Oreochromis niloticus: one gene and its partner. The protein of the gene in region 1 purifies or fractionates together with the protein of each later gene. This does not show direct contact. Links are inferred from orthologs where the notes say so. Each region holds a gene or a part of one and is shown on either strand. Other genes may lie near its edges.

Region 1 (7,940 bases):
CTAAAGAACAGGAAGGTTACCGACCGCAACTGTAATATTCAAATATGAATTTCTGTCTGTGTAGACAGCAACAGGTGTGATTTTCAATGATTTATCACAGTTTACTGCTGTATTATCAGAAACAGAGGGGATGTAATTGCCAACTTGACCCCATTCGATTGCAGACTGACAGCAGACTGAATCCATCTTATAGCAACATTTATGGCAGGTGTTGCTATAGATGCTCTCATTTTGCAGCAAAAAAATATAAATAACTGAAGTGAGATAACTTTATTTTACTGGATAAAAACAAATACTTACAAAGTTCAACTTTGAGGAAATTATCTGCAGTTGAAAAAAGGTCACAAATCATAATGTATGTTATGGCAATACTCAGTATATCACAAACAAAATGTTAAAAATTGCAATATCATCATATCATCACTGAGGTATTGTGATAATATTGTATCGTGGAGTGATGGTGATTCCGACCTGTATTAGAGCTTTATATAGAACAATTTATGTAAAAATCTACTTTTGACTGCTTTCTTGTCACAAAGGCTTGCTACAAAGAGTTGCCACAGCGGGTAGCTCCACATGTTTGATTTGACAGAGTTTCTTTTTTACTCCAGATGTTCTTCCTGACCCAACCCCAGAGAGGATTTATGTTGCCTGCTAAAATCAAACCTGTGCCCTTTCTCTTACCAAGGGAATGTGTTAACCACTATACCACTGGAGACACATACAGAGCAGTATTAAATTACATACATTTTCTATGTATTTAATAATTGTGTGAATTAAAACATCTTCTTACAGCAGGAACTATACAAGTAGCAGGAAACTTATAAAAGCAAATACTGTTGTTCAAATAAATACATAAAATGGTTCTGCCATACCCCTATTTGATGGCCTCATGGTGAATACACTCTAAACAGTGGTCATAAATAGCTTAAAGAAACTATTAGTTAATCCAAGTGTATGTAACACTAAACTGATCTTACATGGATACCTGTCAAAACAGATACAAGATTTGATAACTCATTTATATGTCAAAGAATTAGCCTTGTTTATTACAAAACAAAGACATGGTATTCTTTTTACAAGGAAACCAAAGGCACTCTAAACTGGCTTGGATTTAAATAAATCTACACGGTATAAAAATGTCTTGTCTTTGTTTGTTACTTAATGCTACTGATTATCATATTAGTACATGCAACATTCAATGGGTGATTACATTTTATCAGCCTAAGTGCATGGGCACCCCATTTACTGAGACTATGAAAAACTAGAAATGCTCTCAATTTATCATGCCTGCTAAAAGTGTTGACCTTTTATCTGATTGTCTTACCCTCCTAACTTACAATTGTAACGCTGATAGTTAAGGTCTGCCTTTTATCTTATGATTTTAAAATTCAAGTGTTTTTATTCTTAAATTTAATTTTAGTTTATAAATTTGACTTTTATCAAATATGACAGCAAGATCCGACTTTAATATACGGGCTTGAACATTTTGTTTTTATTTTGTATCTCATGTTTATAATACTTTGATGTCACATAATTTTTATCTGGCAATACTAACTAATACTAATACTAAGAGTTTATTTCATCATTCATACTGAAAAGAATAACTTTTAAATGGTTACGCAGTTTTCCTCCAATTTCATTTCTTTTCCTTATGTGCTGTGAATCACAGTCGCTCGGGCCCAGCTGTTGACTCAAAAGCAACATTAGCGACTAACACTGCTAACAGCTAGCGTGACAAACCAAAATGACTAAGATTAGATAGCTGACAGTCGGTTGGATTCACTTCTCCATTGCTAGCTAGCGTCTGAACTCAGTTTCCACAGTGGGAAAGTTTTAGCTTAATATGAACAAATGAGCTAACAGAGGAGAACGGCAACAACAGCTTCAGCTACCTGCTAAATTTGTCTGACACCGACTGAAGCTAAGCGCTACCTCTAGTCGAGCTAACGGTAACCCAGAGCTGACCCTTTAGCTTAGCCACTTAGCCAGTCGGGTTAAAAATATCGAGCTTAGCTGCTTTTGCCTCCCGTTTAAACCAAGGCCATGCCTAACTAATCGATGAAATTATAGATTAAATGTTGCAACACTGCCACTACCTCTCTAAAACCAATTGTCTACACACTGTCCATGTTGTTGTTGTTGGGGTTTAGCATGGTTGGAATTCTGTGCTAAGTTGGGAGGGCTAACCTGAAGCTCGGCCCTCTCCACTTCCCAGTGCGCCCTCTCCATCTCGAACCGGGCCCACTCATGCTGGATGTAGTGCAGGATGCCGGGGATTGTGTACTGCTGCTGCGGCCGAGGTAGCTCATCGGGCTGGTGTGGTACCATGACTGCTCCGCCACCACCGCCTCCAATTGGTGGATTCGCGCTACTGTTATTCCCCTGCTGCTGTGGTGGCGGAGGCTGTCGTGGGGCACTTGTTCCGACCCCTCCTCCGCCGGGGTGTTCGTCCATAATTTTTTTTTTTTTTGAAAAGTAGAAGGAAAGTCTCCACAGGCAGCAACGATCCGCGGAGGGATCCCCGCCCCCTAAAGCCCGTGTCTCAGCTCCGTGCCTGTCTAGCTGGCTCCGCTGTGTTGTGTAAAACTGGCTTTCCTCGGAGCGGTGTGGTGCGCGCGGCTGACTGAGGACTTGGTGTTTGTGTATAGAGCTAACCGGCCGCCATTACTGTTCTCTTCCCCGACCTCTCTCTCTGTTTCTCTAGATCCTGATGGTCAAGGTGGGAGAACCCAGCCGCAATGCCTGACGGGACACATCCATCCTCCTTTTCCCTTCCTGCTATCCAAATATGGAACCTTCACGGCTCAAGGAAAGGGTAGTAAAATATAACTCTTTAACGGAGCATATATTAAGATGTATGAGGAAATACAGCAGTTTTACCTTTAGCTATCAGACATATTGTGGTTGTTGTCTATCGCTCCTTTTAAGTACCACAACCACAACTTGTAAACAGCTGAATCTAAAATCCCGTCCAGGATCGTACCGACCAATTTTAAACCGTGAGTACAGTACAATAAATTATGTACAAGGTATATATTTTGCATCTTTCAAAGGAGGAAACATGCAAACATCGGTGGGATTTTCTTTTGGATTGTTTGCGTGGAATAATTACTCCCTCAAATGTCTTAATGCTTAAGTTACGAGCATGTTTTGAAAGTATAAGTAGAAAGTACTTGCGTTCAAATGTAGGAAATAACTGTTACCCTGGAATGCACCTATCTACGCATGCGTACCAAATGCTATTGCTGTATATCGTTGGATTTCGTCTTTCGTTCGTATTTATTTACCTTTACGGTACTTTACAGTAATCTGACTTTAATCCTGTAAACCGAAAGCATCGTGTTTAAAATAACATTAGCTTGGGGCAAAAACTCGCTAGCAGAAGTTCCCATTTTAGCCCGTTTGATGGGGTTAATGTAGCATCTGGCACAAGCTAACAGCTGGCGGTAAGTAAAACAAACGTTCAGCTTAATGACTGATGTGTTACACAGTTTCCTGACCATCTGAAAGTTATGTTGTATTTAAACGGCACTAAACTTGTTAAAGAGAAATGTAATGCTGAGGGTGTAGGATTTGTTAATGTCCTCCTTGACTACTCCGGTGACCCAGTAGTGGTAGGTAACCAACAAACTCAGTTTTTGTATTACTATACAACAAGAAGCGGGTGTTCAATGTATTAGATTGCAATATCTCATACCATGGGACAATGGTCTGTACTGATAATATTGACTTTACGATTCCTCTGCAGCCAGCAGCCGATCGGAGAATGATCAAGTTCGTGCTAATGGTAAACCGACAGGGTCAGACCAGGCTGTCCAGGTATTATCACTCTGTGGAGCTGAGCAGGAGAGCAGCGCTTGAGGCCGATGTAGTACGCTACTGCCTGAGCCGCAAGAAAGATCAGGTGTCTGTCTGCGAATTCCCAGTCTCGTTTAGATCGAATAAATAACATAACAATATCATGTTTTTAACCTCTCTCTGCTTGCAGTGTTCCTTTGTGGAGTACAAAGACTTTAAAGTGGTTTACCGCCAGTATGCTGCTCTGTATATCGTGGTGGGCATCACAGACAGTGAGGTGAGTCTGATCGGAGGTATTTTACACCTCAGCGTTTTCGTCCTTTCAATGGTCAACAGGACGTGTTTCTCCTCTTTACTCTCACAGAATGAGCTGTCCATCTACGAGCTGGTTCATAACTTCGTGGAGGTCTTGGATAAATACTTCAGCCGGGTGGTGAGTTCAGTTTGATCGAGGTTCTTACAAAAATAAATACTGGCAGCCGCCAGTGCTACCCCTCAGCCTCCTAGTAGATGCATCTGTGGTAGAAATGTGAAAATCCTAAAAAGCCTCTGAACTTGAGGTCAAAGTCACAATGACTAGCTATTTAGTAGATGCACCTTTGAATTAAAAAGTAAATTCTACCTCACTTAATTCTCGAGCTATACTGCTGAAAACCGTTGGATCCATTATCAGTGCAGGTCTAAGGCAGGTCTTAAAAGCATTAAAAGTAATGATTACAGTTTCAAACATATATTGTATACTTTTTGAGATGTCTGTAACAACAAATGAAGACTGTTGAAATGCATGAATCATAGAAAGCTGCTGCTGTTTGAATATTTCAGTCTGTGTATTTCTCCCTACAGAGTGAACTGGATGTATCCTGTAACACAGCCACAGCTGCACACACTGTGCTTTTAGCATGACATGCAGTGCATATTTTACCAAAGCCCAGTAATTTTTAATTCCTTATTAACCAATTTCAAATCACCTTTACACCAGATGTCAGAGCCAATAATAAAGCTCCTTCATTTACATTTTATGGTCAGCTGAAGGACAGTGACCATTGACAAGGACACAGAATGGCGCAAAGAAAAAAAAGAAAGAATAACCTGGAGACACAACAGATTTAGAGTTGAGGTCAAATATTAATGTAAAAGTTACCCATCACTATTTGTTCAGTAGGAGTCTTTGTCTTTCTTTATTTCCTTGACCCTTCGCCTTTATCAGATAATGTTCAATCTGGATCGAGTTCATATCATCCTGGATGAGATGATCCAGAATGGACACATTGTGGAAACAAACAAGAGCCGCATCCTCGCTCCCCTCACCGCCATTGACAAGATGGTGGAGAGCTGACAAAAAGAAGAAAGGGAGTCACGGACTGTCCTTCAAGCTCGAGGAATGGCCCACAGCTTACTGTATGAATTTAGAATCTGGTTAAAGGTACTGATGTTAAAAAAAAAAAAAAAAAAAAAACAACTACTCAGTGCCAACATGAACTCTGGTCAGCATATTAATACACATCTGTATACTGTATCCAGATGTTTGAGCTGCACAGCTGAGAGCAGGAAGCCTCCCTCTGAAGTTGGCCAGTTTGAATTATTCAGGGGGAAAACTGGTTGTGTGAATTTAGCGGGAAATAAATTACATTTTTTAAATTTGTCTTTTGGGGTATTGGGAGACCACAGGGATTGTTTTGACTGAGCTGGCCACACATGTAAAATATCTGTAACAAACCAAAATGTAAAGACATGTGGCGGTATTTTTTGTATATGTATAAACCTAAAACATTAATAAAAATATATATATATATATATAAAAAAAGCTGTCTAATATGTAATAAAACAAAAAAAAAAATTAAATAACTATTTCATTTTAAAAAAATATAATGTCCTAAATACTGAAACAACATCTGTATAATAAGTTTGAAATTTTTTTTTAGAAAAAGGCTACAAGATAAATCTCTAAATCAATACTACATCTCTACGCGGTGATTTTCAGCGACTGGACTGCTGTAGATGATGGATCTGCTTCAGCCTCATGTTGGTTGAAGTGCAGCTGTAATACTGAAACACTTAAACTCCACTACAAACAAGTCAAAATTCAACTTGAAAACAAAATGGAAAAAAAAAAATAAATAATCAAAGATTCATATTCTTCCACAGACCACAGGACTCATTCTTTACTTCATACTTTGCAAACATTTTAATGATTTTTTTTGGGAGCATACACATTTGAAAATATCTGTTTACCTCAAACTGCAACTTGAGTTAAATAAATGTTTATAATATACAAAGAAAATACAGGGATAGCAGAGCTTTCTTTTTTTTTTTTTTTTTAAATCTTTCTCTTTAGATGTGCCTTGCACACAGCCAGTGTTTTTGTCTCCATAGCTTCATTGTAAAACAAACACCAAAGGCTCTCTGACCTTTGACCTTTACAACTGGTCAGTAACAACCAGAGAACTGTCGCACACACACAAAAACAAAAAGCAATAAATGGGGATGGGGGGATCCATGAACATTTCAGGGAGGAGGAAGTGAAAACAGAAGCTATGAGTCAAACCAGGCACCAAACTGAGAGCAGACAGGAGGAGGAGATCAGCACACACACGCACGTACACACAAACACACGCAAGCCTGCAGCATCAAAGCTGGGAACAGAGCAGCAGCAGCAGCTCAGGATGGTGAGGAAGATGATGCTGCTGCTGATGAAGGAGGCGGTCAGAGAGGTGTGAAAGACGTGAGAGCGTTTCTTTCATTTTGTTTCTGCAACATAAATCCTCCTCCTCCTGTAGCAGGAGGTCCGGCCGTCAGTCCGTCAGCTGGTTTGGATTGGCTGGCTGATCCGTCAGTCACAAGGCGAGACGGACAGATGACTTGAGAAGCATGCTCAGTGTGGCAGCGGTGGTCAGTTGAGGTGGAAGCCTTTCTCCATGGTAGCGGCTAACAGGCGCTCCCTCATGATGTCCTCAGATGAGTACTCGGGCAGCTTCAGGTAGTGAACACAAGTGTTGACAGATGGGTAGCTGGAGTCTGTGGCATCCACCTACGGAGGCAACAGTCAGTCAGCTTACTGACTAAAACTACCTATATTAACAAACTCAGTCATTTAGAGAGCCAGTTTACCTTCCTGACGATAGTGAGGCGGGGGTGCAGGTTGGCAAGACCACCAGGTGGCAGGGTGGAGCAGCCAGTGGTAAACTGCAGGAAGGCTTTACGCTCATCAGATGACATTCCACATAAGACTCGCACAAACCGCAAGAAGCCAGGGCTGAAGGAGGAGGAGAGGTTAAATACATGATGCCGTGGCTCAGTGTTTCCATTAGTGTTGATGTAACATGTCATACCTGTCTCTGGTGTAACCAAGCTTTGGTTCTGTGTAGTTGATGATGTCGTCAGCAGTCCAGGAAGGAGACTGGTTGCCACAGAGGATCATCTGCACCTCCTTATGGCTAAAAGAGCTTAGTTTCTCCATTGGAAACACGCGATTAAAACCCTCTGAGGAGGAGAGGACACGTTTATGATATTAGATATCCAAGTATTCACTCAATTTTAGAAATAATCACCAATTTACTAAACTGCCAGGGAAAACGAACCAGAAAAGTTTCTCGTCGCAATGGAATCAATTCTATTGTGACAATGAGTCGAGAGAACATAAGGGTCTAAAATGAGAGTCAATCTTTAGAAAAAAAAAACACCCCTCAAACTTTACCAAGACCAAGTCCAATTAGGCCACGTCAAGGGCGTTTCCAGCATTAAAACAACTGCCTCTGAACACAGAGCACTACTTTCTTGCTTTGTTATGTTGTCCACCTCTTTCCTCATTAAAACAGGAAACTATTTTATTTTGTGAAGTTTTCTAAAAAAAAACAAAAAAAAAAACAGATTTCTCCACAATGACAGGACACTGTAGAGAAACAATTTGCCAGTTTTGCACATTTACCTCTAAAGGCCTCCATCTGTTTCTGGATGCCAGTGTGCATACAGAAGTCAAACATCAACTCCACGTACTCTTCTGCATTCTCCATGGAGACCATCTATACACACAGAAAACACTCAGTGAACTCTTGAAAATGTGCAAATTTACGTGAAGATATTTCCATCCACATAAGAACCTTGTTCTGAGGCATTTTTACCTCATCGTCTCCATTTGGTTT
Region 2 (7,981 bases), on another chromosome or scaffold:
TATGTGAATGAGGGTAGTAGCTTTCCTGTGCAGGAGAAAAATGCAAGCTCGGAATTCAGCTTGAGGCCAATACAGTTACAGTGTCACCATCTCTGACATATTTTGCCAGCAGGCCCTCTTTTAACATATCCAGTTGTTGGCAAAGCTGGAATAGCAGTTGATTCAAGTTTTTCATTGTCTCAATGGATTCACTTATAAAACAACCAATAGGATTTTTTTTTTTTTAATGAAAAGACCAATGATTGGCCAAAGGTGTGAGGTATAGAAGTCTAGTTTCCTACTGAAACCACTTTAATTATATTATGTTGAGGTTATTATTGAATATTTGTCCAGTGAGGGCCAAAAATCTGAGTTTTAAGATACTCAAAATACTGTTACATATAACAAAAGGAAAAAATGGTGCCGTTATTGTATACCAGTGCTGTTAGTTTATGAGCAACAATGCAAACATACCTCACTCACACTTCTTTTGCATCATTTTTTTCTCCCATCTTAAGGTGCACGGATAGCAGAGTACTCCCATCTGTATGACCAGGTGATGTTTAAAGATTCCTCCAGTCCAACCTCTGCTACCCCACATCACTCCCATCCAGGTCTGTCATCTTCTCCGTCCATGCCTGAGACCTCTCTGGAAGAGGACTGGCTCCACTCTACCTACAGCAACGGAGAGCTGGCCAGCTTTGTCTCCTCGTCTAGCGAGGTGGGGGAGGCTCGAGCATCTTCTACCCCTCAGCGCAGGCTTACTTCAGCCTGCTCCACCCCTTCTTTCTTCCCTCCATCTCCGACCACTCCACCGGCACAGAGATGGAGTTCATGCATTTCGGCGCCTAGCGAGAAAGAAGAGCACGTGTACAGCTCCATTAAGAGACATCCTTCCTTTAATGCACCATCTTTGCCTGCAAAGGCCTCCCCTTCTGCTCAGTCAGTCAGTTCTACGGGCAGCCAACAGCAGGAGAAGTCTGGACTTAAATGTAATGGACTCGATGTGGATCGATCCACAGACAGACTTCATGGTCCAAGTCTAGGCCGAGCTGGCCGGCAAAGTAGCCTCCCAGAGCGGTCTACCCAGGGGCTTTCAGACCTCACTTTACACGATGGCCAAAAGGTGGTGGTCCTGAATCGGGCTTCTGCACTGAGCATACTCACCGCTACCCAGAACTACTTGGCCAACTTCAAGGACAATGGGGAAGACGATGACGACTATGTCGAAATCCGCTCAGAGGATGAGAGTGAACAACAGCGTGACAGGTTGGCGCAGAAGAACGGCAGCTCAGCTGCTCTTGCCGGTCAGAATCGGGGCGTTATCCAGTCTCAGAGTCTACCGTGCACCCCAATCCGCTCCTGCGACCCGCTGAGACCTCTGGACCACGAGCATCTGGAGAAATACCTGTGGAACGAGCCGCAGCAGAGCCAGCCCAACATCGTCCAGTCTCTGAGGGAGAAGTTTCAGTGTCTGAGCTCCAGCAGCTTTGCCTGAGGCTATGTGTCAACTAAAAAGCCAAATCTATATTAACAAAGGGAACAATTCTGCTTGGCCTTGAATGCCCTACATCTTAAAACACAAAGAAATATAAAGCAAATATAACACAACTCTCAGTGTAGATCAGCCATATTTGTAATGACATGTTAATGCCTTTGCCTTCTGTTACAGTGCTTTGAAGTTTAACATAATAGGTGACCATTAACGGTCAAAACGCCACATCAAAGCTTGCATGTAAGCTGCCTTAGCACTTCCAGAGATCGGGGTGGGGGGGTGAGGGGTCGCTAGAGAAAAGCAAAGTTCTCAATTGTCTGTAAAGGGAATCCAGTGTGACTGAAAAGATTTTAATATTCAAACTCTTCGATTGCTTTTTGTGTTGAACCTTGTAGACATAACTGGTGTCATATGAACTGTTGTACAGTAGTTCAGGATACTGACTGAAATGTACTCTCTTCTGTGCTCAAGGTCTTAGACTTAGACTTAAACATCTGGTGGACTTTGACAGATTGTGACCACCACCATGTCAGAAGTACCTCTTCAACCATGTTCTTAAGGTTAATTTTAACTGCACTTTCATCTCTAGTTAATATTTACCTATATAGGAGAGGTGACCCAGAGTCGTGGCTAGTTTTAAAACAAATTTGCTTACACCATCAAACAGTTCCAAACAAGCAGCTTTACAAATATACAGTTCAGATTTGCAGTCTTCACATGTGCTACTCAGGCTAGTTTTTCACCTTTAGGTGGCTAATACAAGACCCAATAGGTTAAGTATGACTAAACATAGACTTGTAAGTCTATTTGAAGTTATTGTACGTCACTCTGCCTACCACCTTTCTAGGGTATTGTGCTTTAAAAATTGAGAAGATGCTGATATTTTAGATGATCAATAAGAAAAGATAGGATTAAATATTTATTTTGAATCTGTGAGCAAATCGGAAATGTTTTTACGTGTTAATGTCTGGGGCCATCCATCGTGCACAGCTTAAATGTTCATCTCAATAAATAAATCGTATGTGTGTGTGTGTCAATTTTTTTTTTTTTTTTTTTTAAATATTATAATTTAACCTTTGCTTTTAAGAGGGACCACAAAGGAAATGATTAAGGAGACTTACTACAGTACTGTATATGGTGTAGGTTTTTTTTGTTAGTGTTTTTTTTTTTGTAATGGATCATCAGCTGTTTGTTTACCTTGTTTACGTCTTGGGACACTCCCAACTGTCACACTACTGATATTACATCCTCACTCCCAGAAAGTCACCTCGACGGTTCGCCAACACATTTGTTTTTTCTTTCCCATCAAAGCAAACCCAAGATTTATGCCACACTTGTTTAATTTCTGAATGTCCTATTTATTTGAAAGCATCCCTCTGTTACTGCCCCGTGTCACTATTACTGCGAGCCACCGACTGGTTGTAAATGAAAGAATATATTTATTGAAAGAGAGTTTTATTATTATTTAGGAGCTCACAAAATTTGTATCAAATACTGTGAATATTATCCGAAAATGTTTCTATCACGCACTGCTTGATAAATACTTACGAAAAGAAAACCCCACAAACACTTAAAAGCACAAGATCGTGGCCTGTTGTTCATGTCAGGAAAATTGCGTCAAACACAAGTTAGGAATATGAAGTATTTTTGTTCCATTGTACATTTTCGTCCTGTTTCACTGGTGGGGATTGTCAGTTTTCATTTACTTTTTCTTTTCTTTTTTGCACTTTTTTTTGTCTTTTTTTTTTTTTTTTTTTTTTTTTTACGTTGAATTTGTAAACACTTTGTAAAGATGTACATTTTAGGAAGGTTATTCTTCTATGCCATAGGTATGCTTTTTAATGCTTTGATGTTTAAGTTAAGTCTACTGTATTTTTTTAACTGGCTAGATGTCGTGGCTCAAACTATGTTGGAGGTAATAAATACAGATTAAACTCACCTTTGTGTGTGTGGTTTTTTTTTTTTTTTTCTTCCTCTTGTTATCTCTCCACACTGAATAATAGGACTCACAGCAGTCAGGAAACTTTTCTTTATGTACTACAGTTCTTATTAGCAGTAGAGCATGCATGTCATTTACTTAAGTAAAACTGTTTGCAATGGCAGAACACTTCCCAGCACTGAAAGGCACTTCCCGGCACTAATGGTATGACTTTCAAAATCGTACATCACCTCATTCTTAAATTATTGCATTCACAAACATATGTGTCCGCTCTGCCTGGCCAGTTGACGACAACACCCCATTCAGCCTTTTATAGCTGAGCAGTCAAAACTGAGCAAAAATGCTAAATGAGTTTAAAACAATTAAATAATAATAAAAACTAGACCCCATGAACCTTTCAGTTTAGGTCTGGACTTTGACTGGCTCATCTCAGCAACTTGCTTCTTTTCTATTTCAGCCATTGTATTGTAGAGTTGCTGTTGTGTTGGGACCTGTGTCCTGCATAACTCAAGTTGGCAAAGCTTTAGCTGTCAGACAGATGGCCTCACATTTGACTCTAGAATGCTTTGTTACACAGAGGAGTTCATGGTCAACTCAGTGACTGCAAGATGTCAAGGCCCTGTGGCTGCAAAACAAGCCCAAATCATCAACCTTCCACCGCATACTTGACATTTGGTTTGAGGTATGTTCAGATGCAGCTTTGCAAACATAAACCATGCTGCCATCTTGTTTTTATAAAGAAGAGGCTTTTCTTTTTCTTCCAAACATGTCATACTTGTTCCCTCTTAATTCTTAAAGTAAGGGTGTACTTAGATTTCCAATCACTGCTTTCACTCTTCATCTTGGCTTAGTTTTTGATAAATAAACATAACGGCATATGTCATGTTTTATAATTAATCTGAGGTTGTAGTTACCTAATCTTAAAATCTGCTAAGGACTAGATTATTATCCTGAAATGTGAAACAGAATTTAAAGAGGGTGTACTTTTGTTTCACCATGATTTTGTAAATAAAAATATTTAAGCCATTCGAAAGTAAATGTGTTTGAAATGGAAATATCATCTCTAATATATTATTTCCAAGCCACTAATTTGTCTCGTCGCTAAACATATTATGAAATTGAGTATATGGAATTTGTGAGTGAAAGCAAATATAAAAATAATTCAAATAGTTTTAACTTTCTGTTGATGTACTGACCAAAAATAAATACAAACAAATATTCATCTTTCAATACAAAAATAAAGAAAATACCGCATGAAACTAAGGAAAAAGTCGACAAAAAATAGGATATTCATCCGCATAACCACAGTATCAACAGTAGCAGGCGCACAAACAGCTTTAGAGCTTCGGAAGAACCAAGAAGAAGAACTAGGGCGCGGCGCGGTTGTTTTGGGGCATGCTGGGAAATGAAGTTTATAAGAAATGACTCAACAAAAACGTTGATTTGTAATTTAAAAAGGGAACGACATCACGTGAAAAAATGTAAAACATTTAATAGCGAGTTCTACAACACAATTAAAAGCTCCCATACTGAAAAGATCGAGATTCTTAAGATATTTTCTTCTCGAACCTTCTTCCCAGTACCGGTTTACCCATAGTGCACTGCGCAGCTTCCTTTCTTCTCGGTTGTGCGGTGGTCCAAAAAAATGTCGCTATTAGACGGTCCGTTAAATGTGCTCGGCCAGAGGACAACTGGCCAATCTGTTCGCACTCAAAATGGTGAGTTTATGCGCTGCTTAACTTTGTCCGTGAGACAAAATTAGCGTCTCTGCTATGTGTTTATTATAACGGGCAGGAGAACGGTTTCATGCAACACACGTGTGGATCACGCTAATGCTAGCTAATGTTAACTTAGAGATTGTGCTTCCTGTCTATTACTATTATTATTAGTATTATCATTATACTACAGCACTGAAAATCTGTTCTGTCTCAACTCTTGCAGCACGTGTTGCAATTGTCTAAATCCCATTTTAGTACCGTCCACTCGCACTACAATGAATGGAGGGTTATGCTAATGGGATAGAAAAACTCTGTCATGGTCTGAAGGTGTGGCGAGCTGAATGTGCGCCCCTCTGAATGAAATGACAGCATATCCCTCTGACTGAGGTCCGAAGGGTCAAAGGATGTGCCTAGTATCTTTAGATGCATTGAACTTGTTGCTTCACGCTCGGTAGTTACAGCGTCCTTTTCGCTTCTGCAGTTATGGCCGCAGCATCCATCGCCAACATCGTCAAGAGCTCGCTCGGACCCGTTGGCCTCGACAAGATGTTGGTGGACGATATCGGGGTCAGTATCACGTTTGGAAGCCTTTTGTATCACGCTCTGTTTATATGCCATTAAACAAAGGTTACTGTAGTAAACTAAAGTAAACAGAAGGTTTAAATTAGCGATCAAATACATGAAGAAATCAACTTCAGATTGTGCAAAATGCAGCAGCCAGACTTCTTACAAAAACCAATAAAACTGAACTGAAGCGTCAACACTGCATAGGGTTTAGATCATGAGGCAGAAACTATAATAACCACATAAAAGCCATAGTTGCTTATCAGTTGTGTTTTGTGGTTGTTTCGACAGGACGTGACCATCACCAATGATGGAGCAACCATCCTGAAGCTGCTGGAAGTGGAGCACCCAGCTGCAAAGGTCCTGTGTGAACTGGCTGATCTGCAGGACAAGGAGGTTGGCGATGGGACAACATCTGTGGTGAGTAGCTACCACTAGCTCTACTGGTGTTTGTGAATGCAGCTAATTTGTTGGATTTTACATAATACAGAGCTTCAGAAACTGAATTGCAGCATCCTGTTTTAGTACTATGCACCTGCCTCTTATTACGGGTGTGTGGCTATGCTAACAGGAAAGAGAAACTGTCCATCATGATCTGAAAGGGTCGAGCAGCCTCATTTCTGCCACCCTTAAAGAAATGATGGTACAGAGCATGATCCGTATCTTTTGAGTTTTATTGTTGATAGAAAATAAACTAGTTCCCAGCTTTTAGCTCTCATTGTTTGCGTTTCTCTTTCTCAGGTAATTCTTGCTGCAGAGTTGCTCAAGAGTGCCGATGAGCTGGTGAAGCAGAAAATTCATCCCACATCAGTCATCAGTGGATACCGTCTGGCTTGCAAGTAAGATGTTAAATGTAAAATCATCCAAATAAGATCATGTAGGGTCTGTTGCAGTTTTGTGACGCTCAAACTTGCCGTTATCTTTTAGAGAAGCAGTCCGCTACATTACTGAGAACCTCACTATTGGAACAGACGACCTGGGAAGAGAATGCTTAATCAACGCCGCTAAGACCTCCATGTCTTCCAAAATCATCGGAGTGTATCCTTGATTTGTTTGCAGGAAATCAGCAAAATTTACCAGTGTTTATATTTTGCATGTGCAGAAAGCTCTTCTCACTCTCTAAAGTATCTGCCTTGACCCAAGCCTTCAGTGATGCAGACTTCTTTGCTAACATGGTGGTGGATGCTGCCATGGCTGTGAAGTTTGTGGACAGCAAGGGGGTAGCTAAATATCCCATCAACTCAGTTAATGTGCTGAAAGCCCATGGCCGCAGTCAGAAGGAGAGTTTCTTGGTCAACGGGTATGCACTGAACTGCACAGTCGGTTCACAAGGTAAGTCTGTCACAAAGCCTGAAATTCATGGATTTTAAGTGTAAAAAGTGAGGATTTGCACAATGTTGGTGATTTCTTTTGATTAGACTCCCATTTAAATTTGCTGCTATGTCTTTCCTGATGGTGTATGCAGTGATACGCGTGGGAGACAGTAACCATGGCTAAGAGAAAGATGGTCACAGCAGTTTGTGAACTGTGGCAAAGCTTCTTTTGGCCTCACAGTAGAATAGTTCAGGGACCGTTTTTCCCTTCAAACGGTTTTGTAACTGTTTTTATAATTTTCTCATAATGAATTTTTATTGTCCTTTGGATTTTTAAAATGATGTATTGTGTCACAGGCATGGTGAAGCGTGTCGTTAATGCCAAGATCGCTTGCCTGGACTTCAGCCTGCAGAAGACCAAAATGAAGATGGGTGTACAAGTTATTATTAACGACCCAGAGAAGCTCGACCAGATCAGACAAAGGTGACTTTTGAACATTTTTTTTCTTTTTCTTTAAACAGACACATTTTTAAGAATCATCCCATTAAATTTACTGTGTTGCTTCATCATTAGCTGACACAGTGATACGCGTGGGAGATATCATAAGCAGCCACATGTGAAGGCAGCAGCTCTTCTCTGAGATGCATGACTACTAATGTTGGCCGGACACTTTGTGCATCGCATGTCTTTATAATTATACTGTTTAAAGTATTGCAGCTTATTGTGAAACTGATAACAAAGCTCCACACAAAGGAAATGTGGAGGTAAAACTAAATATGTATTTTGTGTGGTTCCAGGGAATCTGATATTACCAAGGAGAGGATCCAGAAGATTTTGGCATCAGGCGCAAATGTTATACTGACCACTGGTGGCATTGATGACATGTGTTTGAAGTATTTTGTGGATGTGGGAGCCATGGCTGTTAGACGAGTTTTGAAGAGGGACCTCAAACGCATCGCAAAGGCAACAGGA

What was found.
Region 2: the proteins of strn3 (region 1) and tcp1 purify together in Homo sapiens (affinity purification with mass spectrometry; 3 studies listed by BioGRID and IntAct, with this or other methods). This does not show direct contact. The link is inferred for Oreochromis niloticus from reciprocal best matches to the Homo sapiens genes STRN3 and TCP1.

Annotation. Positions count from the first base shown.
Region 1 is NC_031983.2:3,680,876-3,688,815, reverse strand, and holds the start of strn3 (striatin-3), read right to left. Parts: upstream 3,003-7,940; 5' UTR 2,458-3,002; coding exon 2,191-2,457; intron 1-2,190. Other genes in the region: ap4s1 (AP-4 complex subunit sigma-1), read left to right, coding at 3,710-3,907, 3,992-4,078, 4,166-4,234, 4,624-4,656, 5,009-5,137; E3 ubiquitin-protein ligase HECTD1, read right to left, coding at 6,692-6,829, 6,910-7,054, 7,131-7,281, 7,727-7,820, 7,920-7,940. UniProt on the Homo sapiens protein: Calmodulin-binding scaffolding protein which is the center of the striatin-interacting phosphatase and kinase (STRIPAK) complexes.
Region 2 is NC_031980.2:12,365,098-12,373,078, reverse strand, and holds the start of tcp1 (T-complex protein 1 subunit alpha), read left to right. Parts: upstream 1-4,976; 5' UTR 4,977-5,058; coding exon 5,059-5,131; intron 5,132-5,373; exon of another isoform or gene 5,374-5,511; intron 5,512-5,612; coding exon 5,613-5,698; intron 5,699-5,986; coding exon 5,987-6,115; intron 6,116-6,436; coding exon 6,437-6,534; intron 6,535-6,622; coding exon 6,623-6,733; intron 6,734-6,845; coding exon 6,846-7,027; intron 7,028-7,365; coding exon 7,366-7,492; intron 7,493-7,806; coding exon 7,807-7,981. Other genes in the region: pleckstrin homology domain-containing family G member 1, read left to right, coding at 498-1,477. UniProt on the Homo sapiens protein: Component of the chaperonin-containing T-complex (TRiC), a molecular chaperone complex that assists the folding of actin, tubulin and other proteins upon ATP hydrolysis.